Bombyx mori: one gene and its partners. Each later gene encodes a partner of the first gene's protein in a complex. Links are inferred from orthologs where the notes say so. Each region holds a gene or a part of one and is shown on either strand. Other genes may lie near its edges.

Region 1 (3,699 bases):
TCAAATTAATCTAAAATCTATATTGATCTTTTTATCTAACTTAAAGGTTTTTCTAGTGATTGTTGCATAGTACAATTTAGTAGTTTTACTACCAAGGGTAGAACTCCTGTCGTTTTCTGGGGACGTAGTGACACTGATTAATCTAGACAGCCTCAAGCCATACCGCTAATCCACCTGTCACAATGGGTCGGCATATTTTCGCAAGTTAAATCACTAATAACCTCGAGGTTCTTATAACACTAATTAAAACTCAAGTATATATTTTTACAGCACTAAGCTTAATCTTTTAGGGTCACTTAAAATATTTGAACACTTAAAAATAAAAATTAAAGTTAATGAGATCAGAGTTTTGAATCATCATTGCCTTAACTCTGAAAACCTTATAATCGCAATAAAATTAGTGAAGCTAGCTGCTTTCTAAAAGTAAATATATTTTCAATATTTTGACATTTACAATGAATACCATTGCAATATTGTGATTTTTTCTTAGAATTAAGTAAAGTTTATATTTTTATTGATTTGTTCAGAGTGAGTGAAATAAAAATAGCTCTAACTATGTTACAGTTTTTTATTATCTAATTTAGTAGTTATATTATGTAAAGGACACTACTGATAGTGAATTACAATCAACAGCAACTAATCCATGGTTAGCCAAAAACATCCAAGGAACTATTATTATTTTTTCAGTTGTTTTTTTGCATCCTGTACTCCTTCCTTCAAATTTGCACTGAACCTTTTTAAAAACTCTATAAATTTATTAACTTTCTGTGGATCAACATCAGAGAGCTTTTCCTTCCCTCTGTAAAATACTGAGACAGCTAACTGAGCTGCTCTTCGTACAGGGTAGGACTCTGCAATCTTCTGTACAATTCGTTCATTATTGGCTAAGTATTTAAGCAGCGCACGTAGAGGCATCTTCACTTGAATGATGTCTCAAATGAGCACATATTCCGATACTTCTGTAAGAGTTCACGCTTTAATCTCAGCTGAGTGCGGAGCAGTTCAAATTGCTTCAGCTGGTCGTGTTTGTTGAATTCTATACCTGGGAGCCTCCTGATCTGAAATGAGTGATATATTATTGCAGATAATTGTGTACTGGTTGATGATATATTATGGCAGATACTTGTGTATGAGTTCATGATAAATTTGATTCCTCAAAATACAAAAATTATGCTGACTTAGCATATTATTTTTACATTACAAATGTTAAATACCAAGTATGTTTCCAGTATTTGAAAGTAATCTCACCTGAGCTTTAGCTATTTCTAGCCTCTTTTGTAATTCAAGAACTCTATGACTGCACTCGTGGGACTCGCGTATTTTCGACGCGTTGTCGTGAAAATCTCTCTCCACGCTGTAATAAAAACATTTAAAGCACCAGAAAATACAAAATGAACTTGAGCAAATCTAGTTTGTCTCAAATAATACGCAAAATACCTTCGTATTATATCGTATACAATCGGTAAAAAGTCTACATCTACATCCTCAACAGTCAGGGGACTGTAGTTCGTCTGTTCTGAATGATCTGTGTTGTTTTCCATTGTACAAATTTTAAGCACAATTTTTCACTTGCTTATTATGTAACAGATTTTATTATACGTACGTTGTTTATTAATTTATAAATTTATTAGATTATGGTTATTAAACACATAAACCTAGGTACGTAAAAAAGTAGGTAGATTCTTTACCATCACAAAACCGAAAACGACAAAAATAATGATGTGTTATTGTGTTATCTATGGACAGCAATGGACTATGGACGAAATCGCGGAGAATAAGTCGAATGTTTGTGTGATCGGTGTTCGACAAGCAAAGGAAATAAAGCTCATACACGAAATTTTTGGAACGAAGTTCTTTACGGCAGGCTTGGAGGAGATAGGGATTTTGCTGCACGTCCGAACTGAAAAAAATGTGATAGTAAAACCGTAAGAAAAAGTCCGTGGAATAAAACCGTTAAATAAGACGTGCGCAGGCGCGACAGTCATATACACAAGCGAGTAGTGTATAATACCTTTCTCTTTTTATGTATATTCTTAGTACGATGGCTATACAGTGTCTAATGTATAGTCTACGTGATGACGGTTATTATTATAATTCGTATAAATAGCTGTTTCTTTGTATATTATTATTATAATTTTTTATAAATCATTGTGAATAAAATAAAGTTGATAACTTTGTAATGTAATTATTATTATATTTTTATCAATAAAAAATAAAATAATAAAAATGTATACCTGAATAATTATTTTCTTTAGACCTCGAATAGAACTTGAAATTAATATTTTTATAATAAGGAACTTCGTTCCTATCCGGTGTCCCACGACACCACACATCTTTTTTTTACAAAGGCTGTAGTAATGTCTGTTAAAGAAAAGTAAAATAAAATGAAAAAAATGTTTGAAATAAAATGAATTTGAATGAAATTATATGACCATCGGTGTTTTATGGGACGAAATAAATTAATCAGTCTGAACAATAGTGAGAGTTTACTCGTCACTTAACTTTTTAGAAACGCTTGAAAAACCAAGTTCAACAACTTGGTTCCATTTTCTTAATCTTATCCACTTTCACGAATACGAAACCGTTGCTATTTATTAAACTTGTAGAAACACTGGATTAAGAAAATAGCACAACTCAGACAAGTTATCTTCTCCTATTTCTGCCAAGATTTTGGAATCGACTAAGAAAATAGAAATTTTTTAAACTACTTACCTATCATTATATTCTGCATAAATTTTAGGCCCGACTCTACGAAAGTTTTAAAATTCTACTAAGTTTATTCACGCTGAAGGTAATTGTTTTTACTCAACTAATTATAATATGTGCTTAGTGATTTTAATTAATTAAAAATATATCAATCAGAGGTGCTACGGTAATAAAATACCCCATTCTTTCTAAATCAAGAAGCTCTGTAGTGATACGTTTTAGTATTGAAATCGCATCAGATTTTAAGAACGCCAAATGGCACTTCGAAACATCAGTAGCAGGCTCTATCCGAATCATTTTCTATGGTTCGTACGTATATTAAAATATGAGTTAAGAGTGTGTTGCTGTGTGTTATTTTGTTTCTGACAGGGTATACGAGGAACGAAGTTTTTTTATTTTTTTATTTTTCTATTTAGTGTTTATTCAGGATTAAATGTGTAACTTAACAATAACGGTGGTTTATTAATAATTTAATATCTGTGAAAGTGCACCAATGTGGGAAAATGAAATAAAGCTGCTGGACGTTGCTTCTCGGGATCGTCTAAAAAGTTTACTGAAAAAGTTTCAGTAAATAACCACAATTTTACTGAAATTATATTTCATCCCATATCATCTCATCTCATTTCATTTAATTTTAGGTCAATTTATTAATGTTCCAAATGAATTAATTTCATTTCATTTCATGTCATAACTATTTTTTGTCATAAAAAAAAAATAGCATATTAGGCTGTATGGTATGATACTTTTGCCTTTTTAGTTGGAAAAGTGGAACTACCACTTTGTTTTTGACAGGTGACAGTCTTCGTTAAACAGTAAAGTCAAAATAGCCTAAAAATGTGAGTTTTGTGTGACTTTGTTCATACGTTAGAATTTGTTAGATTTGATGGTTTTAAAGTGAAGCTAATACTTAAAATGGACGAAGTCACTAAATTAGAGCATCTTTCGCTCGTGTCTAAAATATGCACCGAGCTAGACAACCATTTAGGTTTGAAC
Region 2 (4,575 bases), on another chromosome or scaffold:
TTTTAAAAGTTTTAGTAAATAGTCATTACTTGTTGCTATGTTTATAACTATATTTATGCATAAAATTTGATAATAAATTGAGAATAGATCTATAATTTTAAGGTATTTGATAATAATTTTGGTACTATAGTGTGAAGCTTTGAAGTTTTCAAACAATTTATCTAAATTGTTTTAAAACATTTTTAATAACAATCACGAGGTTTTGTGTGTGTGTGTTTTTTTTTCTGTGCACAATTTAAAACCTCTGTCTTTGTAAATGTGGCCGCAAACGGGGGTTGCTAGCTGATAAAGATGGAAACCTAGATCCAAAGTAGAGTGAGAGAGTTAATGCGTAACATCGTTTGTCAGACAAGGATGGCGGTAGACAAACTTACCCTATTTAAAAATTAAAAACTAATGCGCATGCGTCGAGTGCTAGTTTATTCAACCAACTGCGCTCACTTTCTTACTTTACAAACGATAATTTAGTTAGGTACTCAAAAAAAAGTGGGAATTTTTATTTGCTATATTATTATGCTAATGAATTATATTCATATTGCTGTTATTAGTAAAGTTTTGTACTTAATTTATAAAAAAATTAGATGCTATGTTGGGTATGTACATACAGTACTCAAAAATCTAATTTAGCAATTTTCATTGTTGACTTCTAAGCAATTTAAATTCGATAACGGCGGATTTCTATCATAAAAATGTGATACCGCAAATGCTTAGTTATTTTTAAAGAGTGCAGGTTAGGCTGAAAGCTATCTAGTCTTTTATTGTTAATTCGTACGAGAATAGCGCGAAAGCGGTGATGGAAGTTTTTTTTCCTACCTATTCGGTAGCCTACACACACTGCGACGCAACTTCTTGATGAATTTTAGTTGTTACAAAAATGACGCGAGGATTTGATATTTACTTATTGCGCGACAGGAGGTGTTTGTTGATTGTAAAAAAAATGGCTTACACGAAACGAAAAGAAAAACGGAAAACTTTTACAAATTAGTAAAGTTCTGCCAATTTTACTATAGCACAGCTGCCTTAGATTGAATTAGACTAATAGTTGTAGTAGTCATTAAACAATAACATGTTTGAACACACAACCTCGTTATATCCGTAATGTGAATCCAGCTTATTGTTAATGTTGTTTCATTGAATAACTAAAATTTAAAAATAATCGTTTAAGGTCTGAAATGAAAGAGGTTCATTAATGGTTTTTTATTATACTTAAATACTCAATAATTGTGATGTTTTTCTAGTCGGTAATATTATGGTTACCTATTGTGTACACTGCTTACATTAAATAAAGGAAATTTTGAAATTCATTTCATTGCCTATAATTAAAGTTTTTTAATTTTTTTTATATGTAGATGGGTGGAAGAGCTCATAGTCCACCTGGTGTTAAGTGATACCGGAGCCCATAGATATCTATAACGTAAATACCGTCACCCACCTTGAGATATGAGTTCTAAGGTATACTTACAACGGCTGCCCCACCCTTCAAACCGAAACGTCAAGTGGTCCTGTTATTAGCAACATTACTATTTAGCTTATAATGTATATAACGGAGAAATGGTTTTCTAAATTTTAATACTGATGAGAATGATTGCAGTTCTAAATGTATTTTTTTATTGCCCTTGTAGGCAGACGAGCATACGGCCCACCTGATGGTAAGTGGTTACCATCGCCCATGGACTTCAGCAATGCCAGGGACAGCCAAGTCGCTGCCTACCGTTAAGTACTTTCCGCAAGCCTCGTTTGAAGAAGAATACGTCATAGCGCTCGGAAAACACCGTGGAGCGGAGCTCATTCCAAAGCCGTATGGTACGTGGCAAAAAAGATCTCTGGCTTAAAATGGCGTTACTATTCCAAATTAGGTACTGTTTTGCTGCACGCCAAAGTTAAACGATCGTAATATAATTGTTTCCTTACAGAACTTCAAGTTATTTGGATTTTAGATTAATGTCTCAAATGAATCAACTTTATTTCATTTCGCTCCATATGATCATTTTTCATGAAAGAGAATAGAATGTACATACAAAAGACTAGGATGTATGGTGTGTGATATCTTCGCCTTTCCACCTGGAAATATTGGAAATATTACTTAAAAACGTCATAACGTTCAACTTCAAATAACTTCATTCAAAAGGTAGTTTTACAAATTGATACTGTAGGTAGCTTAAAACCACCTTCCATAGAAAATATCCATATAAGGATTAAATTTTAACAGTGGTTAGTAGGATAAATATCTGAATTGAATAATGGCTGATCGCTTAACTCAGCTTCAAGATACCATAAACCAAGTACGTATGACAAAAATGAACATTTCGTTTTAATTGACATTAATACATTTCACATACGTTGTATTTATTTATTTGTAGCAAGCTGAGAATTTTTGTAACAGCATCGGAATTCTACAGCAGTTCTCGTTGCCTAGCAAGTTCCCAGGCTTCGAACGCGGTGGTTCTCAGACTCCTCAACAACCGCAGAGTCAAGAGGATTATGCGGTTTTATTCGCGGCTCTAATTTCTCGTTGTGCTAAGGACATTGACACGCTCATCGAGTCTTTGCCCAGTGAAGAGAGTTCAACTGAGCTGCAAGTGCAAAGCCTTCGGCGACTTGAGGCCGAGAACAAGGAGGCTGCTGAGCAACTTGAAGAGGTAAGGGCTGTCAACTCTCCGTGCCCAATACACGTGCAATTTATCTCAAAGGACACTAGCTTTCTTTTTTATCATAAATTGGGAATTATCATGTAACTAAACCATTAAAATAATGATTTTAAAGAAGTAATTATGCCATGCAGTTTGCTTTTGTATTGCCATTTGAATGTAAAATCAAATATTCCAAGAAAGTATTTGTATTACAGACATTGTATTTTGTCTATAGTCAACTTTTGTAATGTAAACAAGCACCAATATTTAAACATAAATTAGTACCTACTTAAGATAAAATTGACAGTAATAGCGATTTGGTTAAAGTTGTTTCCTTAACTTCATTTTGAGATGGCACACTGGAATTGTATCAGCGAATATTACTTTATTCAATTTTCAAAACCCATAGGGTGTTTACAGATTAATCTCATGTTTTAGATTGCCATGACTACAAAAACTTATAGTATTTGAAATATTGGAAGTAATCATATCGACGCTTGAAAGGCAAACGTGACTAAGCGACAATGCGTGAACTTCACAGTAGACTAATTTCAAGATGAAATACCTGAAAAAATTCTATTTTAACGAAACTAGCTGTAGGATTGAAATGATTTTAATAGACCTAGAAATATATTTTTTTTGGCATTGAATATGGTTATTGCCTATCATGTATAAAGCAGTTATTGTCGCTTAGTCACGTTTGCCTTTCAAGCGTCGATATGAAAATAATTACACATGACTTACTCTCTTTTCATTAGCGTTAATAATAATGTCAGACAATATTTAATAATTCTACAGGTAGTCCGTCAAGGAGAGATTCTTCTAGAGAAGATTCAGGGTGCTCTGAGTGATATTGCTCAGTGCCAGTTGGACATGCAGAATCCGGCTCTGATCCTCAACAAGGATGTGAAACCACAGTTATAGGGATGGGGTCTGGGGTTCTACCAACGGTAGTTTCCTCTACAAAAGGATACGTTAAAACAAGAATACACGGAAGTATTTTAGTATTATATGAATTTTAAAATTTTGTGTTTGAAATCTTAATGCTTAATGACGAAGATTTTTTTTTGTTGTTTGCAAATTTGTTACAGGGCTTTCATGCCGGTGAAAACTAAATTGTCTGAATGTCATATTTTTGAAACTATAATAAGAAAAACATTGGTATGACATATATCATTTTAAGTAATCATTTGTTATAATTGAATAGTTAAGTATACATGACTTGTTTATTCATTATTTTCTATTATTACGTAAGGCATACTTTAAGTCTGAAAGGGTAGGTACCGCCACTCTGCCTATACATACTGTAAAGCCGTTGTTTTCCAGTTTTGAAGCACAGGTTAGTTGTTGATGATGATTTTGAGATGAGTGGCGGCAATGACTGGGATCTCTGGGCTATGTTAATCTCTTAATATTAGATGAACTCGTTCATCTATATACATAAAATAAAATGAACACAAGGAAAAAGTAAAGGTGATTGTATTCAATGATGAACATGAGTTTTAATTAAATTAAAAAATATTTATGTTTTATGTTTAATTAATTTAATTAAGTTATTATGTTTAATTAAAGGTTTAATTTTTCTTTTTGTTGTACGCCCTGTATATGCTGGAATGGACTCGAATCTAAATATTAATATACTTTAGAGATTGGAAATAGAAAACTATAATCTTGAAATGAAAAAAAATCTATATGATTGAAAATAAATGTTGATAGCTAAGAGTGTTTTATTAAATCAAATGTTTTATTTGTATAAATTTCAATACTGATTCAATGGTAAAGAATAGTTTAATTTAGTAGAAGTAGTGTTCCTTCAGGTTTATATATGTATTAATGGTAGCTTATTTACATTTTAGCATCTCTGAAAGTGCACATGTGTGGGAAATTAGAACAAAGTTCCTATATGTGGCTTAACGGCTTCCTCCAAAAAGCGTCAGTAAATTCC
Region 3 (4,745 bases), on another chromosome or scaffold:
AAATACAATGTATAAAGAGGGGAATAGTGTACAATACAAAATCTATTAAAGCATGATTTTTAAACTAAGCTTTAAAAAAAAACTAATATGAAATGAAAAATACATATAAACATACATAAAACAATAACTTAAATACACTTTTTTAAAGTGACAGGAAATGTTTCTTCATTTGACTCTTAGAAACTTCTAGAGAGGAACTAGCACAAATAGGTTGAGGGAGAGAATTCCATAATCGCACTGCTTGTATTGTGAAATTGCATTATCATCATACTTGTTTAAGTGGTGGGCAAAATCTTGGGCATCTCTGGTGGGCATCTTTCATCTTTGTCAAAGTAAAGTCATACCTACCTTATATGAACTAATAACTTAGGATATGTGTACAATGGTCAGAATAATCCCACCTGTCTTTTCTGTAGATATTCACCAATGACTGGGGTCTAGAACTGTGAGTAGCTGAGTGTATCCTGAGTCACTGACGTGTATAAGTATTTTTGTTATGAAGAAAACAGGCATGCCAGTTTGAATTATAAGATGCCTGCCTGCCATACAACTGAGACTTCGGGCATGTGTTTTGGGTCAGGTGAAATAAGATAAGCATGTGTGTCTAAATTTTATTGAAGACAAATTGTTTTTCACTACAGTGACCCGCATCTTTTTTCAACCTCTAGAAGTTAAAAATGGACTACATAATATGAATGAAATGTTTATTAAAATCTGTCAACTGTTTAGGTAATTATGATAATTTTCTATTGTAACTTTTACTAACCTGTAGATCTCATTGACTCTCCTTCCCAGTCTTCGCGGCCTTTGGATATAATTTCCCAAACGTGACTGACAACTTTAGTGAATTGAGCAATGTGTTTCTGGAATATAAAACTATTATAATCCATACATCATCCATCTATATAATTGTAGGTAACAACTACACAACATTACATGAGAAAGTGAGCTTGTTATAATTGCATGTCTTAAGTACTCAACTTGATTATCATGCTAATTTTGCAGACAAATCTTGATTATATAAAAGAACTTATTATACATAGTTTAATAGAATTCAATGATGATATGATTGCAATGATACTGAATGATGACCATGACCACCCTGACAAGTGATACAACAAAAAAAAGAAAGAATTGATACATACTTCAACCAAATATCTCAAAGCAAGAGGTTGATTTAACTCTGTGATATCTATGGGTCCCAGCCACTATATCTCAAGTGAGCTGTGGGTTTATTCACTCAACAGTGCATTACATGTTTTAACCCCAAATATATCTATTTTTTTACCGTTTACAATGAAAACTAATTTAGATTGCGAAGTCTACAAAGAATGTCATAAAAAATTAGCCCAAATAGTTATAATGGATATTTTTCCTTGTGGTACATTAAACCTTATGCTTCTTTAAATGTTTCTGATATTTAAAATTAAATGTTAATTATTGTCTATACCTGTGCTGTATCATAGCTTAAAGTACTAGCTTTATGATTAAATTGCTGGAGACGCTGTTCAGCCTGGGGTTCAGGTTTGGTACGAAGTAAATCTGGAACTAAATCATGAGTGCAAGCTGGAACTCTGCCTTCTGTCAAATGAGCCAGTGTTTCATCACGTTCGCAACTTAATTGAAGTGGTAAAACAATTCTAGACCGCAATGAAGCTGCTTGTTCGGCTTGGAGAATTTTACTGAGGCCAGTCAGCTGAAAATAAAGAGTTAATAAAATTTAACTAAATAACACATGATCTTTAAAGTGAAAAGCTTATGTACAAATGCACTTAAATCTGAAAACAAGTCTCAAAATGGGATAATACCTAATAAATATCAGTGACCACGCTAACCAGGTTACATCAAGTGAGTTTTGAACTCGTCAGTTTTTGTTTCACTGTTTTTTCAATAATAAATTAATTATCTTTCCTACTTCAAGTTGAAATCCATCTCTGTAGACTTGTTGACTATTACACACACTATTTATGCTATGAATTTCAATATACAATTGGACTTACGTGACCAGATAAAATCGCGTAATTATCTAGAAAAGTTGGCCAATTTATTGTCTCGTATTCCGTTTCTAGTTTATTTATCAATGCTTGTATTGCAGTTTTTAAATCATTTACTCTATTTAAAATCGCAACTATTGTAGCTTCTAGTTGCTTTTCTTCTCGCTGCTGCATATTCATTGTTGTAAATGGTAGGTACACAATTGTAACTTTTTAATTCTCTTTGTTAGATTTTAATAAGGTTTAGGTACCGTACCTTACCTAGCTATTAAATAACCGTAAGGGACTAAGGGTACATAAGTAATATATCTCAAAATGGTACCATACGGTACCTACCGTACCGTAAAATGGGGCGATTAGGGACAAATTCCAACTTTATGAGCAATTTTAAGGTAGTTGTTGATGTATATAATGCTAAATCAGGATCAAAATGATTGAGTCTTGGGGGCATCTTTGTTGTCTAATTTAAAATTATGCAACTAGCATTCCAGTTTAAGCAAAAAATGCAAAAATAGGTGTAATCCCTATTTACCCGAAAATTGCGGTTAATTGGGACGAAACGAGAAATTTGCTAGGGTTGGCACTACTTTTATTTTTATATATAGTTTTAATTTATTTATTTATTTAGTTGCACCAACAAAGTGATCATCAATAAAAAAAATTGAAAAACTGACAAAAGTACATGGCAGACATCACCTCAATTATAGGTGCAATCGACAGTGCTGATATTTCTATCTGGATTAAGAGATTAGGTGTGTCGGTTATTCCATGGATTAATCAGATGAATACCCCCACTCTGAACAAATATTAAATATGTAGCAAACCGACCGGTACGTCACTCTCGCGGCCGTATGCCCGCTCGCTATACATAGTTAGTATCTATGTCAATCTTGTAACAGTGTATAATCTATGTTCCGGGCGCTTCCGTTTTGAGTGTGAATAGCGTGCGCCCGCGTCTAAATGTAATTATTGTTTAAAAATTGAAAATTGTTTGTTATAAAGGAAGATTAAAATTCGAAATTCGATATTGGTGACTAACCCATAGTTTTAAATACCCCTGAGATCTACCCCTCACTATATCTGGCTGCCCAACGTTTCCTAATTTTTTTCTTGCTTGGACTAACAAAATGGCGCGCACGCTTTTGTGAAAAATTTGCTAACTATTGTATGCTGTTGGTGCTTAATTGTAAAGAATGCCTTTAACTAGAAGTCAAGATCGCCAGCAACGTCGCGAAGACGACGTTATTCCTGCTGCAGATGCAAATGCCAACGAAAATCACGAGGAGCATGATAGCCCCCATGATCGCCCCCACGCCGAATCACGTAGCAACAATTCTACGTTCAACTTGGATGATGTTTCAGCGTTGATGGCCTCGCTGCAACGTTCGCAGGCCGAAACATTTAAGAACATTATGTCGTACGTGATGGAACAAAGATCGTCGACTCCGGCACCTCCGCCGATGCCCCCAGTGAACGTAGATGGTACCTTGGCGCGTTGCAGAGCTTCTTTCAGCGGTGCACCTGGTGAATCTGTTGAGGCCTTTATAGATGCAATTGAAAGTTATACAGAATGCGTTCAAGTATCTGACGCTAACATCATACGAGGCCTAGCCATGCTTTTGTCTGCTGACGCAGCTACGTGGTGGCTAGGATTAAAGCATCACATCTCCACTTGGAACGAAGCCAAAGAAAATTTAATATATGCATATGGCACCCGCCTTCCACCACATAGAATATATTTGGAAATATTTGTTTCCCCGCAGGATAAAGAAAACACAGACAAGTTTGTTGCTCGTATTCGTGCGCTTATGGCAAAGCTACCGCGGGATGATATTGCTGAAAAAGTACAACTTGATATGATATACGGGTTGCTTCATAATAGAATACGCACAAGATTGCGCCGTGAAGAAATCACATCTTTCAATTCATTATTAAACCATGCTCGGAATATAGAAGATTCGATAGAGGAGACTCAATCGAGACCAGTGTCGTCCACTAGTGGTGTGCGTTCGATCCGTGCCCAGCCGGCCCAGGCTGCGAGTCGGCCTGAACCGTGCGCCGCTCGTGCGAGTGCCCCGGCGCCGCGCGCGCGCTTTCCAAACTCCGCCGCGGCCGTCGTGCCCGCCACCGCTGTGCCTGTCGCTGTCGCCCAGCCTACCGTTGCCACGCCTGCCGCTGCTGTGCCAGGTTCTGCAGAGCAATTCGTGACCACGAAGAAACAGCGTCCAGTGTGCTCCTACTGCAAACGGTTTGGACATGCACGGGAACAGTGCCGTAAGTTAAACAACCGAGGTGAGCAAAGTCAATCTAACTTTTCCGAGGGTGTGCAAAATGACAATAATGCGTTTTATAGTGTTCAGTGTAATGTTAATAATACTAACACAATTAGTTCTAATTTACCTGTTCAGAATGCAATGTATGATGTTAAGCAGCATGACAAAAATATTTTTCTGAGTAATTTTGAATGTCAAAATTTTTGTAACCGGGATGCAAATATTAATTATGCTACCATTAACAGAGGCCCTACTTCCAGAAAATCTTATTTTCATGCCTGTAATGATTCTGTGTCAAAGAATATTAACTGTAATTGCACTAGTAATAATGAGATGCCAACCTTTTGTTATTCTCATGTTTTATATAATCAGGATGTTCGGACAAAGTGTAAAAATTTAAATATTTGTTATAACCAGGGAACTAGACCTAAATGTAAGAACTCATTTTTACCTTATGATCAAATAATTGAACCAAATT
Region 4 (4,442 bases), about 200 kb from region 1:
TCATCAAACATCTCTTTAAAAAAAAGCAATGATTTAATAAGAATTAAATGAAAAAGCAAAGAATTAATATGTATTTACAACTAGCTAGACGTCTATAAAATTTTCTAACCGAAAAAATATATGTGTATAAACCATTAGAATAGATAAAACCTTCAAAAACAACATTATTATTAAAAACGAAAGAAAAAATCTTGATATTATATTGCTTTCACGGCAAAAATTTTAGTGACTACTTAACTTGCTTGAAAGTGAAGAAATACTCTCAAAATCCATTAATTTGCAACTCGCACTCGCACATACAATAATCGAGAGGCTCACTTCGGTAAAGCTATTTGATACATGAGACAGCAACATAAACAAACCTTCTCTCTCCCACAAAATGAGATTCATAAGCTTACCACTAGGTGGCACTGATACAACCTCACACAAAATAAACATAACATTAACATCGACTGAGTAATTAAAAAAACTTGCACTAAGCACAGGTACATTACCCATTACCCGACTAATTATAAATATCGTTAGAAAGCTTGGCATTTCAATTAAACGCCTTAAAAAAAACCTTGCGTGCTACCAATATAAAAGAAAAAAATATCGCTTTTCAAAATGAATAAACGTCCTGCAAATCAAGTAACTCGCACTCAGAGCTCCGCACGTTTCACCGTGAAGAGCGTACACTCGATGCGAGTCATTCGATTCGATTTTTGAAACTCGCACTAAGCCTACGGACGTCTTATAGTTTAAGCCAGGACGACTTAAACAAAAAAAAAAGCCTAAGCATTTGTTTCAATAAGAATGTTTGATTTTTTTACTGCTTCAAAGTTTGAATGAGCTCATGCTTTCTTGTTTAGTGGATTTTTTAAAGATTGTATGACCTGTTACCGAGACCTTTTGTTGGACGGTTAAATTTGAGAGGACTGGGTTCTGTAGGTGAGGGGCTATTTAAAAACACTCTGCTTCATGGTTAATATATAACACCATTACAATATTTTATTTTATAAAACCCTAAGATGTTGCATAGTCCGTGTCTAGAAGAGAAGCCATTGTCCTCACTCAAGAGAAGACTCATCTGTTTTAAATATTTAAATAAGCATTTCAATATTCGAAAACTGTAACCTTACATGTGTCAAGTGTTACCTGCCATTACTTACATATTCAAACTCCAACACCATTGGACCAGTTTTAAAGTGTTTTCAAAGCTCATAGACATCACAATTCATTTTCCATACAAAATTATCACGGAAGCTCCAAGTGCTTATGTGTCAGAACTATAATAGACTATTTCAACTAATTCAAAACAAGTCTATTTTAATTAGACAGTTGCTATTTTAATTTGAGAATTGCTAGTATTTAATTTAAATATAAATTTCTTGAGAACCAACAAAACCATGTACCTATTGTTATGATTTTCTTTAAATAACAATATTAGAGTCTGTGGGAGTTACAAAGCTAGTGTTGCAACAGGACTTTTTGGCGGGAACGTGAGGAGTGAAGTTGTGTGATTTGTTTTATTTTGTCTATTTAGTGTTTCTTCGGGTTTAAATGTGTAATAATGGTGGTTTATTAAGTGTTTAATATCTGTGAAAGTGCGCAAATGTGGAAAAATGAAACAAAGCCGCTGGACGTAACTTCTCGGGATCCTCCAAAAAGTCCACTGAAAAAATCTTAGTAAATGACCACCATTTTACTGAGATTATATTTCATCCCATTTCATTTCATTTAATTTCATCCCGTTGATTAATATCTCAAATTAGTCGTCTTCATTATTTCACTCCATAATATTATTTTTCATAAAAATTGAATATAAATTAAAATAAGACATGACTTAAAGGTCTCAGTTCCCTTAAAAAAAAAGTGTTGCAACATTGTTCCTACTTTTATTTTTTAGAGTTGTCAAAAGCTTGGGAGTAGGGAAGGTCTTTTTAATTTTTTGTGATTTTGTTTAGAGTATTTAATTTATTTAAGTTCGTTTCGTAGATAATGGTCATCCAAGATGATGTCTGATCAGTTTAGGAAAGTAGAACCATATTCGCCAAAATCGTCGCCGAGGGGTGCGAGGTCACCAGTCGTCTCTCGCCAAGATTCTTCTGGTACACTCAAAACTACTATATCCTTAGGCAAAAACCCGTCTATAGTGCACAGCGGACCATTCTATTTGATGAAAGAACCCCCGGGTCAGTATCTCCAACTCTTTAACATTCTCTTCTCAAATTCTTAAATAATTATATTCAGGAAGTGACTTCGACGATTTCTTTTACAGGAGAATGTGAACTGACAGGCGCTACAAATTTAATGGCCTACTATGGACTTGTACATTCTTACAGTAAGTTTAATGGCAAAAAGCTGAAGGAATCCCTATCATCTTTCCTTCCGAACCTGCCGGGCATCGTTGACGGACCTGGGCAGGACGATAACAGTACTCTAAGTTCAGTTATAGCTAAGAGACCAATTGGTGGTAAAGAATTACTGCCATTAACTAGTGCTCAGTTGGCAGGTTTTCGATTACACCCTGGCCCACTTCCTGAGCAGTACAGATATGTGAGTGCAACACCACCAAAGCGACATAAAAGCAAACATAAGAAACATAAGCATAAAGATGGTGCACCTCCTGGGCAAGAGACACCTTTACAAGGTAAGAACTCAGAACTCAACAACATTGATTTAATAGATTTAGCTATGTCCCAAGCTTGTAGACAATATTACAAATTAGCCACCTGTAGATGCTATTTAGGTCTAGGTGAGTCTTCCAGGCACTTTGACTACATTAATCTAGTTAAGACAGTATTTGAATTGCAGTGTAATTGTACTCTGCATTTTACATTTTGTGGTACTAACCCGTGCGGGCTCAGAAGACACCCTATCAATTATTTTTAGTGAGTCTGTTTACAACACTGTCCTTCACTGTGGAAGTCAATTGTGAACATTTGTCAAGTACATATTTCATAAGGAAAAATGGTACTTATCTGCGGGATTCCAACACTAACACAGTCGCATCACTCAATATGAATGCACCAGGCGTCTTATTCTTTAGGCCACAATGATTTCATTTAACTTTAGATGTCAAGTGATACTTTTTAAATTGCTTTATAAGTTATATTATTTATACTCCATTTTTGTCTTGAGTTTTAATATAAAACATATCTATTATTCTAGATTCATCAAATCCAGACACATATGAGAAAAAGCATAAGAAGCAAAAACGTCATGACGATGAGAAAGAACGAAAGAAGAGAAAAAAAGAGAAAAAGAGAAAAAAGCAAAAACACAGCCCTGAGCATGGAGGCCTTACACCAAACCAACATCCATTACCGTAAATATAAGTGTACAAGTAGGTTTAAGTCGAATAATGAGCCCAAAGAGAGTATTGTACTAAAGATGACTAAAAATTAGTAATTCATTGTGTTCTAGTGATATTCCATTACTAGTGAAATGTACCTCTACACTTTGTTGTGCATATGACTAAATGTATGAACGGCACTCATTTGTTGAAACTACACGTGCTATCTATCATAAGTTGATTGTAATACGATGGAATGTTGTTAACATTTCATTAAAGTGGAAAGTTTTCCTCAATTGGTTGAATGGTATAATAACACAAGAAGAATAACATACAATTGGTTGTGGCCTAAAGGATAAGACGTCTGGTGCATTCGTGTTAAGCGATGCACTGGTGTTCGAATCCCAGGCAAGTACCAATTCTTTTAATGAAATACATACTTGACAAATGTTCACGATTGACATCCACAGTGAAGGAATAACATTGTAATAAAAGTCAAACCTGCAAAATTATAATTTGCGTCATTACTGGTGGTAGGACCTCTTGTGAGTCCGCATGAGTAGCTACTACCAGCCCGCCTATTTCTGCCGAAGTAATAAGTTTCGGTTTGAAGAATGGGGCAGCTGTTGTAACTATACTTGAGACCATTGCATTTATGTTACATCCACCCATCTAAGCAATAAAATAAAAAAAAGAGTAGATTTATCTGAATCTATATTTCTTCATTATTCAATGGGGTGTATATGTCCATAAAATGAAGAAAAAACGAAGTTTTTTATCACATTTTAAACCATAATAAGAAAAATGAGGTTTGCAAGACTTTTGTTTTTATGAAATACCTAAAATTGCTAGTCAGGCAATGTTTTAAACTTATAGCTAATTTATTATCTTTACTTCATAGTAATTACTTTTGATTCTGAACTTAAGATTTCTAGTAACTTCTACTTGGCTTTCAACAGGTTCGATTGCATGGTAGATTTAATAAGATTTTGTTATGCTAAGTTACCTAATAGAGTTAAAATGCCATGATGGCAAGCAACATTGTGTTAAGTTGACCACTTTGAAAGAATAATCACATCATTCTCAAATGTTTCTAATGCAAACATTAGGAATTTATTAAAAAATATTACTAATTAAGAATTAAATTTCTGAGCGAATTGCCCAC
Region 5 (4,663 bases), on another chromosome or scaffold:
CAAATTTACCATGGAATGCAATACACATTACATGAACTTTCTGGTTGAAACGAATATAGATAAAGCCATAAGTTTTTGAAAGTCAGCTTAGACATTCACTTAGGCCACCACCAAGATATTTTCATAAAATCGAACATTGCGAGTTAACGAGCTATCAGGAATACCTAGTAATTTTTTTTATTGCTTAGTTGGATGACGAGCTCACAGCCCACCTGATGTTAAGTGGTTACTAGAGCCCATAGACATCAACAACGTAAATGCGCCACCCACCTTGTGATATAAGTCATATAAGTTCTAAGATCTACGTATAGTTACAACGGCTGCCCCACCTTTCAAACCGAAACGCATTACTGCTTCACGGCAGAAATACGCAGGGTGGTGGTACCTACCCGCGCGGACTCACAAGAGGACCTTCCACCAGTAATAAAATAAATGTTAAAGTACTAAATCCTAGGGGCAATAGTATCCGGACTAAGTTGTCTTAAAGCTCCAAACACTTATACAACTCCTATGAGTAGTATTAGTTGTAATATATTCCGGTGCTATCGGGCCTCGTGATCGTTGATATATTTTACCTACCCATTCGTTGGTAGCCTAAGGGGCTATTCCAGGAACGCGCGGACGTGTATGAGTTCACTGGCTCCACCTGAGAGAGTTTGCCAACACTGGCCCTGGCAAGAGCAATGTTTCGTTAAAACCTACAGGATCAGAATCGCAACCCACTGAGAAGAACTGACGAGAAACTGTTTGGGTTATGTCAACAGGCTAGTTCGCACTTCCAACTCTTAATCGCAGAGTTCGCGTGCATAGATATCGAAAAATAAATTTGGAGGTTAAATTTTTGTTCAAATATAACAAAACGATTATGTGGAATAAATTTTTTTATTATGTCATTTCTATGAGGATATTTAAATAACATTTGAATTAATTCTACAAATATTTTTTTCATAATAAACACAAGCATCAGTCTTTTTAACTTGTTGAGTTGCACTACACTTTTAATCAAAATGAAGTCCACGGTTTTTCTGTATTCATTGTGAATCACTACTTGAACTTGAACTGGAGTCTGTGGACATAACTTCAACATCTTCTTGGTTGGGAGCATCCTTCCCTCGGCCATCAATAGCTACAGAGTTACCGCCTCCAACAGACATGTGTAGCTCGCCTGATGGATGCCAAGTGAATTGGCTTGAAGCTGAAGCTGGTACTGAAATAATATAACACAGTAAACCTGATTAACAAGCAAATGGTTTTACATGTTTTTTTTACCTAATGCAATTAACAAAAGGGTAAAATGTTTCTGTAAAATTCTGATGATAAGAATATTCTTAAATAATTTCCATGGGTTATGGGTTTTGAAGGAAGCCTCTGTTGACAATATTAATAAAAAGAGGTGGCAATAACATAGGAGATTTTTTTTATTCTTTACAAATCCTATAGAAATTTGATCATTAATTCAACTTTCCTGAAAAATATTATTCTTGTATATTTGAGTTTAATACAGTGGTCCAAAACATGATATATCTGCCAAAGCACTTGCTGAGTAGTTTAGGTGTTTGGTGTTCCCTATCACCCACTTCTCTCATAGCTATTAATAACTATGATAATACATGCTTATTGTAGATGAATCAAATTAACTATAACGATAAAGTACCAATACTAGAATTGTATAAATATGTACTGCACAAAGAGTTCTATACATATGCAACTTGTTCTAAGAATGATTCATTAATATAATGAGTAATGCATTTATACCTCCACCAGTTGTTATACGATGAAGTTCATTCAGTGTAGAAGGCGTGTGACCATTCAATGGCAGATCACAGAGGCGACCGAGCATTCCTAATCTCATTTCTAAATCAGTTGGATAAGGCCGACGAGGATCACCAGGTTGCCACGACAAAGGTGCGCTGACAGCATTAGATGCACTTATTCTGTAAAATATCAGTAAGTCAAAAAAAGTTTTTTTAAGTACTATTTAGTTCTCACATCAAAAATAGTGTACTGTCTAATATTTAAAAATTCTTTTTAATGTAATTTAATTAAAGTGTAACTCTATAGTTATGAAAGAAACTGTTTTCTGTAGATAGTTATTTTCATAACATTGTTGGCTATTCAGACACAATACCTAATATCCATTCAGACTTTTTGCATTAATAAACTTAATCAACTGTTAATATACTAAACATCTCATTGATTTATTTGTTAGTCAATGTGCCTACTATCATTGTCTCACTGTTGTCATTGGTCAGGTTTGAAATCTCTGTTGAGATCATAAATATTTAATATTCAATATTTAGGAGTACTCATCATGTGTTTTAAGGACCTGACTCAGAAAAAATATTTAATTTCAATGTAGAAATCTTTAATTGTTTACTAACCTGTGTGCAAATTTGATCAACTCCTCAGAGGGTACAGGTCTCTTTCTAGACTTCACTATTGATGCAAGTTTCTGTCGAGCTTGATACAGTGATGTAGCCAGAATTTGTTCTGCATCTTTCAATTGTCTTTGAAGGTGATATATATCTTGATCCTTAGTAACACAACAAAAACATTTCAATTACATAATTCGCTTGTGGCTTAAATTGTTGTGAACTAGCAGTGGATGAGTCAGTCCACTCCAAAATTTTATCCATTTTTTACTTAAAATAAATCTCTTTTGTAGTATTTACCTTACTATCTACTTCAGCTTTGAGTTCATTCATTTTCTGTTGGATCTTTGCTTGTTCGTCAGCTAGGTCTAATGTTTTTTTCAATTCTCCATGTTTTGATAGAAGTAGGTCCGTCAACTGAGCATGATCTGCAGCGGACACTTTCTGTGGTTTTGGTGCTATGGAAACTTCTATTATTTCCCTGAAAATTTAAAGAATTAGAACATGAAGTTGATCGGTAATGTTTTCCACAGTTCAATCGTGTTTTAACTCACTTAGCAATAAGTTCGATATCATCTATTAGTGCCAATAAGCGATCTTTAGTACTTAAATGTGACGCCATAGCTCTATATAGCTTAACAGCTTTTTTTAATATAAACGATATGTATTATTTCCTTATATCATATGAACTGGACAAACGACCCCCCAACGCTGCGACTCTTGGGATTTCTTGTATCAAAAACGCTACTATGTACGTGGTAACTACATTCAATGTTTACAGTAAAAATAATAACATTGTTTGATGTTTCCAATACAGCAGACGACAAACGTGAAAGTCATAGACTATGTTCCACAGCAAGCACAGACTAATAATTAGTAGAGCCTTGAAATATTTTTCTCTATGATATAGAGAAACTTATTCTCGTACTTTTACAGTTTTTCTAGTTTTAAAGTGAGTTTCAGTATAATTTATATCTACAAACTTTGTTTTATAAGGCCGTAGCCTATTTACGTTATAAGAAATAAAATAAAATTTACTACTGGTAACGAGATGAGATGATTTACTTTTTCTTATGAAGATGGGTGAATGACCTCAAGGCCTATTAGTAGTTACCGGAGCTTAAAGACATCACAAAGTGATTGCTGCCCCCAACTTTAACTTCACTTTTCTATTTTACACTATAAAGTGTGTTCCACCCTTTAAATCAGAATGCATGATTACTTGGCGGCAGAAATACACAGTACGCTGGTACCTACCCATGTAGAGTATTGTAGAGTCTAGTTATTATGATATGATCTCTCAGTAAAATCGTGTTTATTTCCTGAGACGTTAATTGAAAGACTCCGAAAAACCACATGTAGCGATTTCGTTTCATTTTTCTACCCGTTGTGCACTTTCATGAATTTGAACATCGTTTGGTCATCATTCATCGTTCTCGTTGAACCCATCGCTTGCGACGAAGGCTCGGCTAGTAAAATAACCCACAAATAAAGCCCACTGAATTTCTCGCCGGATCTTTTCAGTGGGTCGCGTTTCCGATCCCGTGGTAGATTCTGCAAAGTATTGCTCTTGCTAGGGTTAGTGTTAGCAACGTCGTCAGGTTAGATCCCCGTGAGCTCACCTACTTAATAAGTTACACTGACATAGCTCTCAAGCTTAGATAAAAAAAAACCATTTCACAGGTTCAGAATATTTGTCAGAAGAAATACAATATTGGTGTAATAAAAATATTCTCAAAATAAAGGACATCTGATTCCATCAAAATTATTGAAACACTGCACAAAAAAAATTATTCTATTAATTATTAGACTTGCGAATACTGAAAAAGGATTGAAAGATTGTGATATTGATTGTTATGGTTTATTTATAATTCGTAATTATTGGCGGTATAGCGTAGGTTGTAGATACGTATCTACGACCAAGCTTCCTATTATTGCCACCTACCAGTTATTCGTTTCGGTATAAAGGGCAAGATAATAGACAAAACAGTTGAGACTTCGAATCCTTAATTCAATCAAAATGGATGGTTACTTACACGCTGTGATGCTCATATTATATCTTCCGATAATCAGTCAATACGGAGTTAAAGAATGGTGTTGTTAGGATGTCTTGTGAGTCCGCACGGGTAGGTACCACCATCCTGCCTATTGCTACCGTGAAGCAGTAATGCGCTTCGGTTTGAAGGGTGTGGCTGACGTTATACTGTTAAAACTGAGACCTTCAAACTCATGTCTCAAGGTGGGTGGTGGCATTTACGTTGTACATATCTATAGACTCCGGTAACCACTTA
Region 6 (4,010 bases), on another chromosome or scaffold:
TAGTCTGAACTGAATTTAGACTATTAAAATGAAACATGAACATATATATACATTTATCCATTCCTATTACAACAAAATCTACCACTAAAAACATCATAGACTTTTTTCATTATTTCTAACATATGTATTATAGGAGATTATAGTGTTCGTTGCGAGTACTTAGATGGTCAAGAGTGACTGATGTTATATCATGATCATAACTTAAAGAATATCACAATGTTTAATAACTATTACTTTCACGGTGTGTAACACATTTTTTTCTTATTAACATAATGCGCTCAATGTTCTCTTTTAAATATTGCCTCGTTTATTTGGCTTTATTTTTATTTCCTTTAGCAAATTCATAATAGACATTTACTTAGCTATTATGACTTTCGCTTACAGAAATAATTATGTTAATTGTGATTAAAATTTATTGCAAAATACAGTATTATTTATCCATGTCCATAAATCTTATATGCATAAAAAAAATATAAATTAAAATGAGCCGGGAATTTTTCTTACTTTTCACTGCTTATTCTTTTCTTTCGCATTTTTTTCTACTGAATGCTTATAACTAAATATCATTTTACACATATTACTTACAGAATAATTCATTAATAGAATAACAGAGTATTTTTTTATTTCGATCATTTAAAACTAGGCATGTATTTTGCTCGACTTACAGTATAACAGTTTTAGTCATTCTACAAAAAATGTATAGTCCTTTATACAGATATTACATTTATATATACAATAATAGCCCTGTCACAATACTAAATACTATAATAATTGAATTATTTAATCATAAAGTCAATTCATTCGTCAGAAACCGAGCCATATTTGGCTAAGAATACCTTCTGTAGTGCTATTTATACAATAAAATAAATAATTGAATTTAGCTATTCTACACATACCTACATGATCAGAAAACTATTCGTATTGACAAACGATACACATACATACACCACATAATAAATTCAGACAATTACTTGGCCTATTACAGGTAATAGACCAGATTAAACATTATAAAATTGTACACAAAATTCAAACTTTAGGCCCTGTACATAAAACTGTATCAGTAAACTTTGTAAAAGTAAAAGTACGTCCTAATTCTTAGCAGAAAAATTACAAAATAGGTACCTACAAACTAGAACTACCTAATCATTTCACATTTTATTTTGATATTATCATACCGTTCTAAATGTTGAATATCTTCTTATTTTGAACTAGTGAAACCCTGCCGAGCATAAATATATGGAAAACACGCATTTCTTAGGGTATACCTGCCTTAACTATCGTACACTGACACACACTGAGAAAACTTTCCATGCAGTAAGAACAAGTATATAAAGTTTCAAATCTTATAAAATCATCAATCTTATAAAAGCGCTAACACATAGATCACGAGCGAACAAGCATACAAACATTATTTTTGGTATTATACAAGTGAAACCCGATCACGCTTCGATGCGACTCAATACTGTTGTATGAAAATAATCTTTCATTAAAACTACTTAAGTGCCATCTGTCGAATGTCGATGATGACAAAAACTTTCCTTGAATTGCTAACAATAACTCTATCTATCTTCAGATTAAAAGATGCGCAAGCGAATAAAATACGTACAATCAAACATATTTTTTATATCCTAAGAAAATTTAATAATATTATTCCTCTTATAATTTTATTTTCTAGCACTTCAAATATTAAACACTTGAACTATTTATTTAAAATTTTCGATTTAATTAATTTGTTCCCCGTGGCATACGAAAATTTTTTGATAACCCCCGTCGTTTCTCTTTCGTAGAATAACAGTGACATAAACACTGTCAGGCTGGTGTCATTCGGAACTCGAACTAGCACTCGACGGAGGGCTATTATACTCCTTATGCTAGGCGGTGTTAATTTGTTCAACATTCAAGTGCGTGATGAAGCGCAGACGCATCTGCAGCGCCGGTCGCAGTTTACGGATTACGTTTTCCACTTCGTTCTTCAATGTGTCGCCGACGAACATATATTTTATATGATATCTAGAAAGGTGTTGAGGAAATAAGACGAGTTAACCACAAAAAATATTAGTTACTGGCGGTAGGACCTCTTGTGAGTCCCCGCGGGTAGGTACCACCACCCCGCCTGTTTCTGCCGTGAAGCAGTAATGCGTTTCGGTTTGAAGGGCGGGACAGCCGTTGTAACTATACTTGAGACATTAGAACTTATATCTCAAGGTGGGTGGCGCATTTACGTTGTAGATGTCTATGGGCTCCAGTAACTACTTAACAATAGATGGGCTGTGATCTCGTCCAGCCATCTAAGCAATAAATAAAAAAATAAAAAAAATATCAACACGCATGTCGTGTTAAATTATTTAATTCGTTTCGTTAATTAAATAATTGGCAATTGATGAGTGATTTTTTGTAAAGGATACAGCAAGTCGCAAATCGGATCCATATATTGAAGATGCGTCTGTGACTTATCGATGTGAGCGAGTAGTTCATACAAAGTTATAGTTATGTCCATCACTGTCCGCGGTAGATCGGAATTAAATCTCTGTAAGAACGGTCCCACCATGTGGCACAAGAAGAGCATTTGTGTTTCCGTGTGTATTTCAACAGCCAGCTTCTCTTTTACGAAACTGAAAGAATAATTATTCATTATTTTGGCGGGTAGTCATCATACAACTACAACAACAACATCAAGATATTTGACAGATGCCTGAATCTAGCTCACGTCATTTTCAAGATAAGTTTCCACATATACAATTTCCAAACAAAAACATACGGACCGTCGATTTACCGAGCAATATCATCCGCTCGATGGAAGATCTTCCCAGCGTCGCTTTAAGCCTTCCAAAATTATACTTGAAACATGCAAACAATTCACAAATTTAATACATTAAATACTCACATAGGCACTTGCATAATTTGCCCTGCGCCGGCATGGTACCATATGGCATGCGCGCAAGCCAATGTCAAACTATATTTGTTCTCAAGCATCGCGTCACTTGTGGTTGCTAAATTAAACAGCTGGAAAGGTGAATATGGATATGTCCATTCGATCATCTCACTGCTAGTCGTAAGTTCCAAAAGACGTTCGTGCAGAACCGTCCAATACGGGTCCGGCAAAGCCGCCATTATTAAGCCAATAGCGTTGATCCAAAGCTGTAATTTCGTGGTGGGTATTACGACGAAACCTTTTGTGATCACATCGAGTAAACTGTTCCCCACGTAATTAGGCGCAACTGGTAATGACATCAACTCGACACAAGTTACGTACAGGGCGTGTGCTGACGGATTTGGGTATTCGTTGAATCTCCAGTCAGTATTTGGAAAGTGAGAATTACCCATCATTGCTGAGATAAAATTAAGGAATTAAGTATTTTACCATGATAAAAAAAAATTGTCGTTCTCTATGTGCAATACAAAAAATATTTTGCGATATATGTATATATGCGATTAAGTGTTCAATATGTTTACAGTGATTATGTCGATTTCCTAAGCGCCTGGATTGCCTAACTTTGACTTATTTTGTTTTCAATGTATGTTTTAGTCTTTTAGAAATAGATTAACTCTCAGTATCTTTGGATTCGTGATACCCAGAGTCTACTAGGTATTCTGGGGACTTAGTAACAGTAATCGACATAATTACTTCAATGCACCACGTAGGGAACCGATGACCACTGTGGCAGTAAAAGGGTTAAGGAAACAACTAAAATAGTATTTTACTATATTTTTGTTTTGTTGTCTTATGGAAAAGGATACTGTCCACCATTCTATTGACTAAACTCAGATAATAATTAAGATCTGGAACCCACGTAGTGTTATCATACTCCGTGTTGGCCAGAAAATTTTGCAGCGTTTCAGTGGCGGCCCAGCCGGCGGGACGGACATCTTTGAGTGCTCCCAATACTGCTCCCACCAGTTTACGCTTTAGCAACGGTTTATCGCGTAGCTTCTTCTCGTAATAGTGTAGAGTATTGTAAAGGAAGGTTATAGGCCGATCTGAAACATGTTTTTATTTATTTCTTAGATGG
Region 7 (4,803 bases), on another chromosome or scaffold:
GCACGCCCTCGCAAGCTACGCCACTGTCGGTCCCAACAACATTATTAATATTATTCTTGAATAAAAATAATCTATACTAATAATATTATAAAGCTGAAGAGTTTGTTTGTTTGAACGCGCTAATCTCAGGAACTACTGGTCCGATTTGAAAAATTATTTCAGTGTTAGATAGCCCATTTATCGAGGAAGGCTATATATAAGCTATATAAAATCACGCTAAGACCAATACAAGCGAAGCACCAATAAAGAATATTCCCAAATCGAGGTTTTTTTCCCTTTTGAGAGCTTCCGCTGCGTGCGCTGCGGAAACAGTTAAAGTTTCGCTAAAATAATGTATGACAGAATTGTTCCCCTTTAAAAGACCTAAAAAAAAGTCCGGGACAGCATATGCCTATATGTGAAGGTTGGCTCACCATAATGTTTTTTATGCTAACCAAATTTGTTCTAAAATAAACCATTATTTGTGAACTATTTCACGCGGACGATGTCGCGGTCAAAAGCTAGTCTTGGATAATTGGATAAATCTAATAAGAAGCAAAACAGAAAAAATGGGCTAAATTAGAAACTGATTGGTTAAAAGAACTACCGTTCTAAAGGTGGGTAGACAACATAAAGGCCATTGCAGGTTCTACGTGGAAGAAGAAATGTCACGATCACGACAAATTACATTAATAGTATGTACCTAAATATGCATTAAGATTGTTAATAAAGGTTTCTTTATCTTTATAATTAGATTAATTGTCAGAAACAATAAGTAGCTCTGCAGTCTGTTTTGCACCTACTGAGAGATTGCACAAGCTCCCGATACACTCACCCGAATCCCTTGAGAGTAGGAGAGAACCGAAGCATTTGTATTTTTTCAGGGATAACCGCATCTGATTTTTTATCCACGGCCACCACACGACGTCCATTGTGGAAAAAGGCCCCTTGGATTATGTGTTCTCCTGAAATATTTTGTCATTTATTGACAAAAATGAAAAATAAAAAACAAGAAAACATCTTTATTGATATGGCCTTGAAAAGAATCTTTATTACATGTTTATAACTTATTAAGATCTATTCAAAGAAATATTTTTAAAAGCCACCACTCATCATGAGACATGGGACCAGAGTCATGTTGCAGTGACAGCTATCCCAAACATCAATTGGAGCCACATTATGTCTCATGATAGAACAGACAGGGCGATGGTACCAGAATATGAAAATGTTGACTATCTAAGCGTTTAAATAAGGGCTGAATTAAGTTTGCACTTAGAGAGCCATCTGATCTTATATGTTCTTAGGTACCACAAACAACCCCTATGCATAAATCAATTAAAAAAGTTGACTCAAAATTACATTAAAGATTTTAAAATAGCAATGCATTTAGTGTACGACAACATCAGAGAAGTGGCAGTAGTCGTAATGCTTTAAGATAAACAATTTTACTAAAATAACTAGTTTTGTACTTAGGTAGTTAAATTTTTATCTTACCAGGGAAGTTAGCACTGTAAAGACATGTCCAATCATTGAGGAGGAAGTCTTTCTGTCCATAGACAGACACATCACCCACTGTAGTGGCTACTAACAACTGTTTGCCTTCCAGGTCCCACTCTAGAGCTGACACCTGGAATTTGTATCCATTATTTTATTAGAACATAGTTGCATAAAGAAACAAAGTTGTAAGAGTATTTCCATACAAACTTTTAGATAGCTTAATGTATTTTTCCGAACCTATAGACCGTATAAAATAGTATGGTCATCATTTGAGTATAAAATTTGACAGCAAACTTCAAAATTTTGGCAGCACAGGGTTTGAGAATCACTGCTATAAACTAGTTTTTAGATCATTTTGTTAAATAATTGAAATTGTTGATGTGGATATCAATTATAAGTAAGAAGCATATATCATCACAAATACTAAGTTATGAAGAAGTTACAAATATGAGTAAATCATATCTGTAAATCATGAGTAAATCATATCATAACCACAGTGAAATCAATTACTGTAGATCCTAAAATATTGATAATATGAACAGATTGACATTTGATAGCATTAATGTAGATGTGTGTAAGGTTTAAAGAGTCTCACTGAATATTTCTCCAACATAATGATGGTAGGCAATGACGATCATCTGACACTGTTTATCATCTCCCGTAATTGTTTAACTCTTGGTGAGTGAGCTGGTCTGTTCACTTATGCGAACAAAACCTGGCCACATAGGGTTCTAGTCTACTATTTGATATGGAAACTCATTAATAGTGTTAATACATAAAGAGCTCATTTGGTTGTAAAATTATACCACTTTTGAATAACTGATCTGTATCACATAGTTTCATTATACTTTTACTATTTCACACTTACAGGATAAGCTGTACTTGTAACTTTGTGACTGTTCCATGGGGTATCTAAGTCACATACATACACATGACCTCCCCATGTTGCTCCGTCCACATCACTAAGCTCTGTCGGTGATGAGAATGCTATGATATTTGCACATGATATTGTACATATTGGTCGGACTACTTCAGAGTCTTTTACACTAGAAATAGACAACATTATTAAGCATTGAGTTTATGTAACACCAAGAAACAGAAATAATGTTTTACAAACAGAACACAGAACGCATGGGACTATTTTAAAATACTTGAATTTTATGTAGATGTGATAAGTTCTAAAGTCAGCTCTTTTTATAATATACATCCATGAGCTGAGCAGTCTCCTATTACTTTTCTCCTTAATTTGTTATTTTTATCCTTTTAGTGTTTTCTTATGATGGAAGGCATCATGAACAACGGTAACTTAAAAAATAAGTTGATGTTACTGCCGTTAAAGATATCTTAATTTGTAAACTCTTGTTGCGAGGAGATGGTCACGACCCTCAGTATTGAGGAAACCGAAGCAAGAAGAAGAAGAATTTGTAAACTTTAGTAAATTTGGATAGAAATATAAACTTTTGATATAAATTTAAACTATTTACTTTTCGAAGTGCGGAGGTTCACATTTAAGTGGCTTGCGTCTCATAGAGTATATTAGCTCCATTACAAACTACCGCGGACTGCGGTTAGCGATTTGTGAACGAAATGTTTAATGTTTATTAAAATACGCATGTAAAGCAGGTTGGAAATTTGAAGTTAATAAGATTGCAAAAACTTTATTTGTTGATACCTATCACGTCAGTTTTTAAAATGTGTCAAAATGACAATAACGTTTTATTATTGCTTGGATCTGAATTTATATATTTATTTGTGGAAGTACCAATTGTATGTAACGAATGATAAAAGGATTATACGTATTTTTGGTTGGCACGGATTATATTTATTTTTTAAATGTTTTGTCTCCTAGCGATTTCGAATTTCATATTGTATGTCAGAATTTCCATTGCCAATTCCATTTCTCGTTTGACAGAAATCAACGAAGTGTACTAACTTCAGGGCGCTCCGTTTCGTCCCGGGCAATGCCCTTTCAATATCGAATTGTTTCCGAACGTAAGTGGACATGAAAATGGCGGATCGCGTAGTATCGCTCCGAATTCGTTATCTGTGAACTTTAACATAAATATTTTTGATTTTATGTGAAAATGTGATAGTTATGAATTAAAACCTCTAGTGCAGTGGTCTTCTATTGGTTTGAACCATGTTTCGGACAGGGATCGTAGCTTACGGCGTGAGAAACTGGATATTCTTGTGGCTGTCGCTACATTTGTTTACATACGTTCAAGGTAGGCTCCTTTCATGTAAAATACGGCATTTATTATCGATCCATTGTCTTCAAGTAACTGTGAGCTTGCCTGCACATGCCAAGTTAAAATATTCGAGAACTTTGGCATAAGTCATTTAAAATAAGGAAATTATTTACATTTGGATTTAGTTTCTGAAGCGTTTTATTTACTATCTTGCAAATCTACCTAATTTAAGTTTAGTAAGTATTTATGTCTCTCTGACGCTTTTAGAGCGGTTGTTAATAAAATTTATGAGGATGTGTACGGCTTGGGCGCGGTATATATTTTATTACTTTTGGACTAAAGTTATGAACTTTTAATAGAAAATATGTCTTCTTCAATAATACTTTCTGTTTTACGGTCAAAAGTGAAGTTTTGTTATTTTTAATTATTCTGTTTTTTTCTCTGGATAATTTTATTCGATCCTTTGGATTTTTCTGATTTAACTTTATAATTTTGTACTAGTATTACTACATACATAATTATACTTATCCAACGTCTCGTATATTTTATTAAATTGTAACTTTTACCTGCCTATTTGCTGGTAGTATAAGGGGCTATTCCAACAACACACGGACGGGATACCTATTGTAACACACACTCGACAATTAATGGCTGAAAAAACAAAAAGTATTAACTTTCAATATGTGATCGCGATATATGGGATCTTATGAGATAAAATTATAAATATGTACATATTTTATAAATTAATGCAACTAAAATTGCAATGACTTGAAGTCGTCGTGGCCCAAAGGATAAGACGTCCGTCCGGTGCATTCGTGTCGAGAGATGCACCGGTGTTCGAATCCCGCAGGCGGGTACCAATTTTTCTAATGAAATACGTACTCCACAATTGTTCACGATTGACTACCACGGTGAAGAAATAACATCGTGTAATAAAAATCAAAAACTCACGGGAATAAAGTGTGTCCATATTCCGTGCTCTAAACCGCTGCACAAAGAAATTTTCAATAATAACACTTCGTAAACAGGATTTAGTATCGGGTCGTGCTCGCGTGAATACCGACCGGGCTTTTGGTGATTTTATTGTAGTCGTCAGGGCTCCGCTGTGGGTCGGCCGCCAACTGAGAGAGTTGGCCAT

What was found.
Region 2: mediator of RNA polymerase II transcription subunit 9 (region 1) and mediator of RNA polymerase II transcription subunit 21 share a complex: the UniProt entries of both Drosophila melanogaster proteins name them as parts of the mediator complex. The link is inferred for Bombyx mori from reciprocal best matches to the Drosophila melanogaster genes MED9 and MED21.
Region 3: mediator of RNA polymerase II transcription subunit 9 (region 1) and mediator of RNA polymerase II transcription subunit 8 share a complex: the UniProt entries of both Drosophila melanogaster proteins name them as parts of the mediator complex. The link is inferred for Bombyx mori from reciprocal best matches to the Drosophila melanogaster genes MED9 and MED8.
Region 4: mediator of RNA polymerase II transcription subunit 9 (region 1) and mediator of RNA polymerase II transcription subunit 19 share a complex: the UniProt entries of both Drosophila melanogaster proteins name them as parts of the mediator complex. The link is inferred for Bombyx mori from reciprocal best matches to the Drosophila melanogaster genes MED9 and MED19.
Region 5: mediator of RNA polymerase II transcription subunit 9 (region 1) and mediator of RNA polymerase II transcription subunit 4 share a complex: the UniProt entries of both Drosophila melanogaster proteins name them as parts of the mediator complex. The link is inferred for Bombyx mori from reciprocal best matches to the Drosophila melanogaster genes MED9 and MED4.
Region 6: mediator of RNA polymerase II transcription subunit 9 (region 1) and mediator of RNA polymerase II transcription subunit 23 share a complex: the UniProt entries of both Drosophila melanogaster proteins name them as parts of the mediator complex. The link is inferred for Bombyx mori from reciprocal best matches to the Drosophila melanogaster genes MED9 and MED23.
Region 7: mediator of RNA polymerase II transcription subunit 9 (region 1) and mediator of RNA polymerase II transcription subunit 16 share a complex: the UniProt entries of both Drosophila melanogaster proteins name them as parts of the mediator complex. The link is inferred for Bombyx mori from reciprocal best matches to the Drosophila melanogaster genes MED9 and MED16.

What each region holds. Positions count from the first base shown.
Region 1 is NC_085116.1:15,850,369-15,854,067, reverse strand, and holds mediator of RNA polymerase II transcription subunit 9, read right to left. Parts: upstream 1,819-3,699; 5' UTR 1,542-1,818; coding exon 1,438-1,541; intron 1,355-1,437; coding exon 1,249-1,354; intron 1,059-1,248; coding exon 918-1,058; 3' UTR 555-917; downstream 1-554. Other genes in the region: ATP-dependent RNA helicase DHX8, read left to right, coding at 3,619-3,699. UniProt on the Drosophila melanogaster protein: Component of the Mediator complex, a coactivator involved in the regulated transcription of nearly all RNA polymerase II-dependent genes.
Region 2 is NC_085122.1:11,557,298-11,561,872, reverse strand, and holds mediator of RNA polymerase II transcription subunit 21, read left to right. Parts: upstream 1-1,351; 5' UTR 1,352-2,240; coding exon 2,241-2,282; intron 2,283-2,360; coding exon 2,361-2,639; intron 2,640-3,428; coding exon 3,429-3,554; 3' UTR 3,555-4,350; downstream 4,351-4,575. UniProt on the Drosophila melanogaster protein: Component of the Mediator complex, a coactivator involved in the regulated transcription of nearly all RNA polymerase II-dependent genes.
Region 3 is NC_085118.1:10,646,182-10,650,926, forward strand, and holds the start of mediator of RNA polymerase II transcription subunit 8, read right to left. Parts: upstream 2,876-4,745; 5' UTR 2,175-2,875; coding exon 2,001-2,174; intron 1,697-2,000; coding exon 1,451-1,696; intron 864-1,450; coding exon 767-863; intron 1-766. Other genes in the region: uncharacterized protein LOC134199859, read left to right, coding at 3,188-4,745. UniProt on the Drosophila melanogaster protein: Component of the Mediator complex, a coactivator involved in the regulated transcription of nearly all RNA polymerase II-dependent genes.
Region 4 is NC_085116.1:16,052,960-16,057,401, reverse strand, and holds the start of mediator of RNA polymerase II transcription subunit 19, read left to right. Parts: upstream 1-1,468; 5' UTR 1,469-1,993; coding exon 1,994-2,174; intron 2,175-2,260; coding exon 2,261-2,632; intron 2,633-3,153; coding exon 3,154-3,314; 3' UTR 3,315-4,442. UniProt on the Drosophila melanogaster protein: Component of the Mediator complex, a coactivator involved in the regulated transcription of nearly all RNA polymerase II-dependent genes.
Region 5 is NC_085112.1:8,189,133-8,193,795, forward strand, and holds mediator of RNA polymerase II transcription subunit 4, read right to left. Parts: upstream 3,251-4,663; 5' UTR 2,995-3,250; coding exon 2,927-2,994; intron 2,854-2,926; coding exon 2,673-2,853; intron 2,534-2,672; coding exon 2,382-2,533; intron 1,935-2,381; coding exon 1,756-1,934; intron 1,208-1,755; coding exon 1,032-1,207; 3' UTR 864-1,031; downstream 1-863. UniProt on the Drosophila melanogaster protein: Component of the Mediator complex, a coactivator involved in the regulated transcription of nearly all RNA polymerase II-dependent genes.
Region 6 is NC_085107.1:8,820,960-8,824,969, forward strand, and holds part of mediator of RNA polymerase II transcription subunit 23, read right to left. Parts: intron 3,979-4,010; coding exon 3,739-3,978; intron 3,330-3,738; coding exon 2,885-3,329; intron 2,613-2,884; coding exon 2,406-2,612; intron 2,011-2,405; coding exon 1,872-2,010; 3' UTR 1-1,871. UniProt on the Drosophila melanogaster protein: Component of the Mediator complex, a coactivator involved in the regulated transcription of nearly all RNA polymerase II-dependent genes.
Region 7 is NC_085108.1:235,086-239,888, reverse strand, and holds the start of mediator of RNA polymerase II transcription subunit 16, read right to left. Parts: upstream 3,179-4,803; 5' UTR 3,023-3,178; coding exon 2,961-3,022; intron 2,523-2,960; coding exon 2,345-2,522; intron 1,607-2,344; coding exon 1,474-1,606; intron 945-1,473; coding exon 815-944; intron 24-814; coding exon 1-23. Other genes in the region: neogenin, read left to right, coding at 3,617-3,701. UniProt on the Drosophila melanogaster protein: Component of the Mediator complex, a coactivator involved in the regulated transcription of nearly all RNA polymerase II-dependent genes.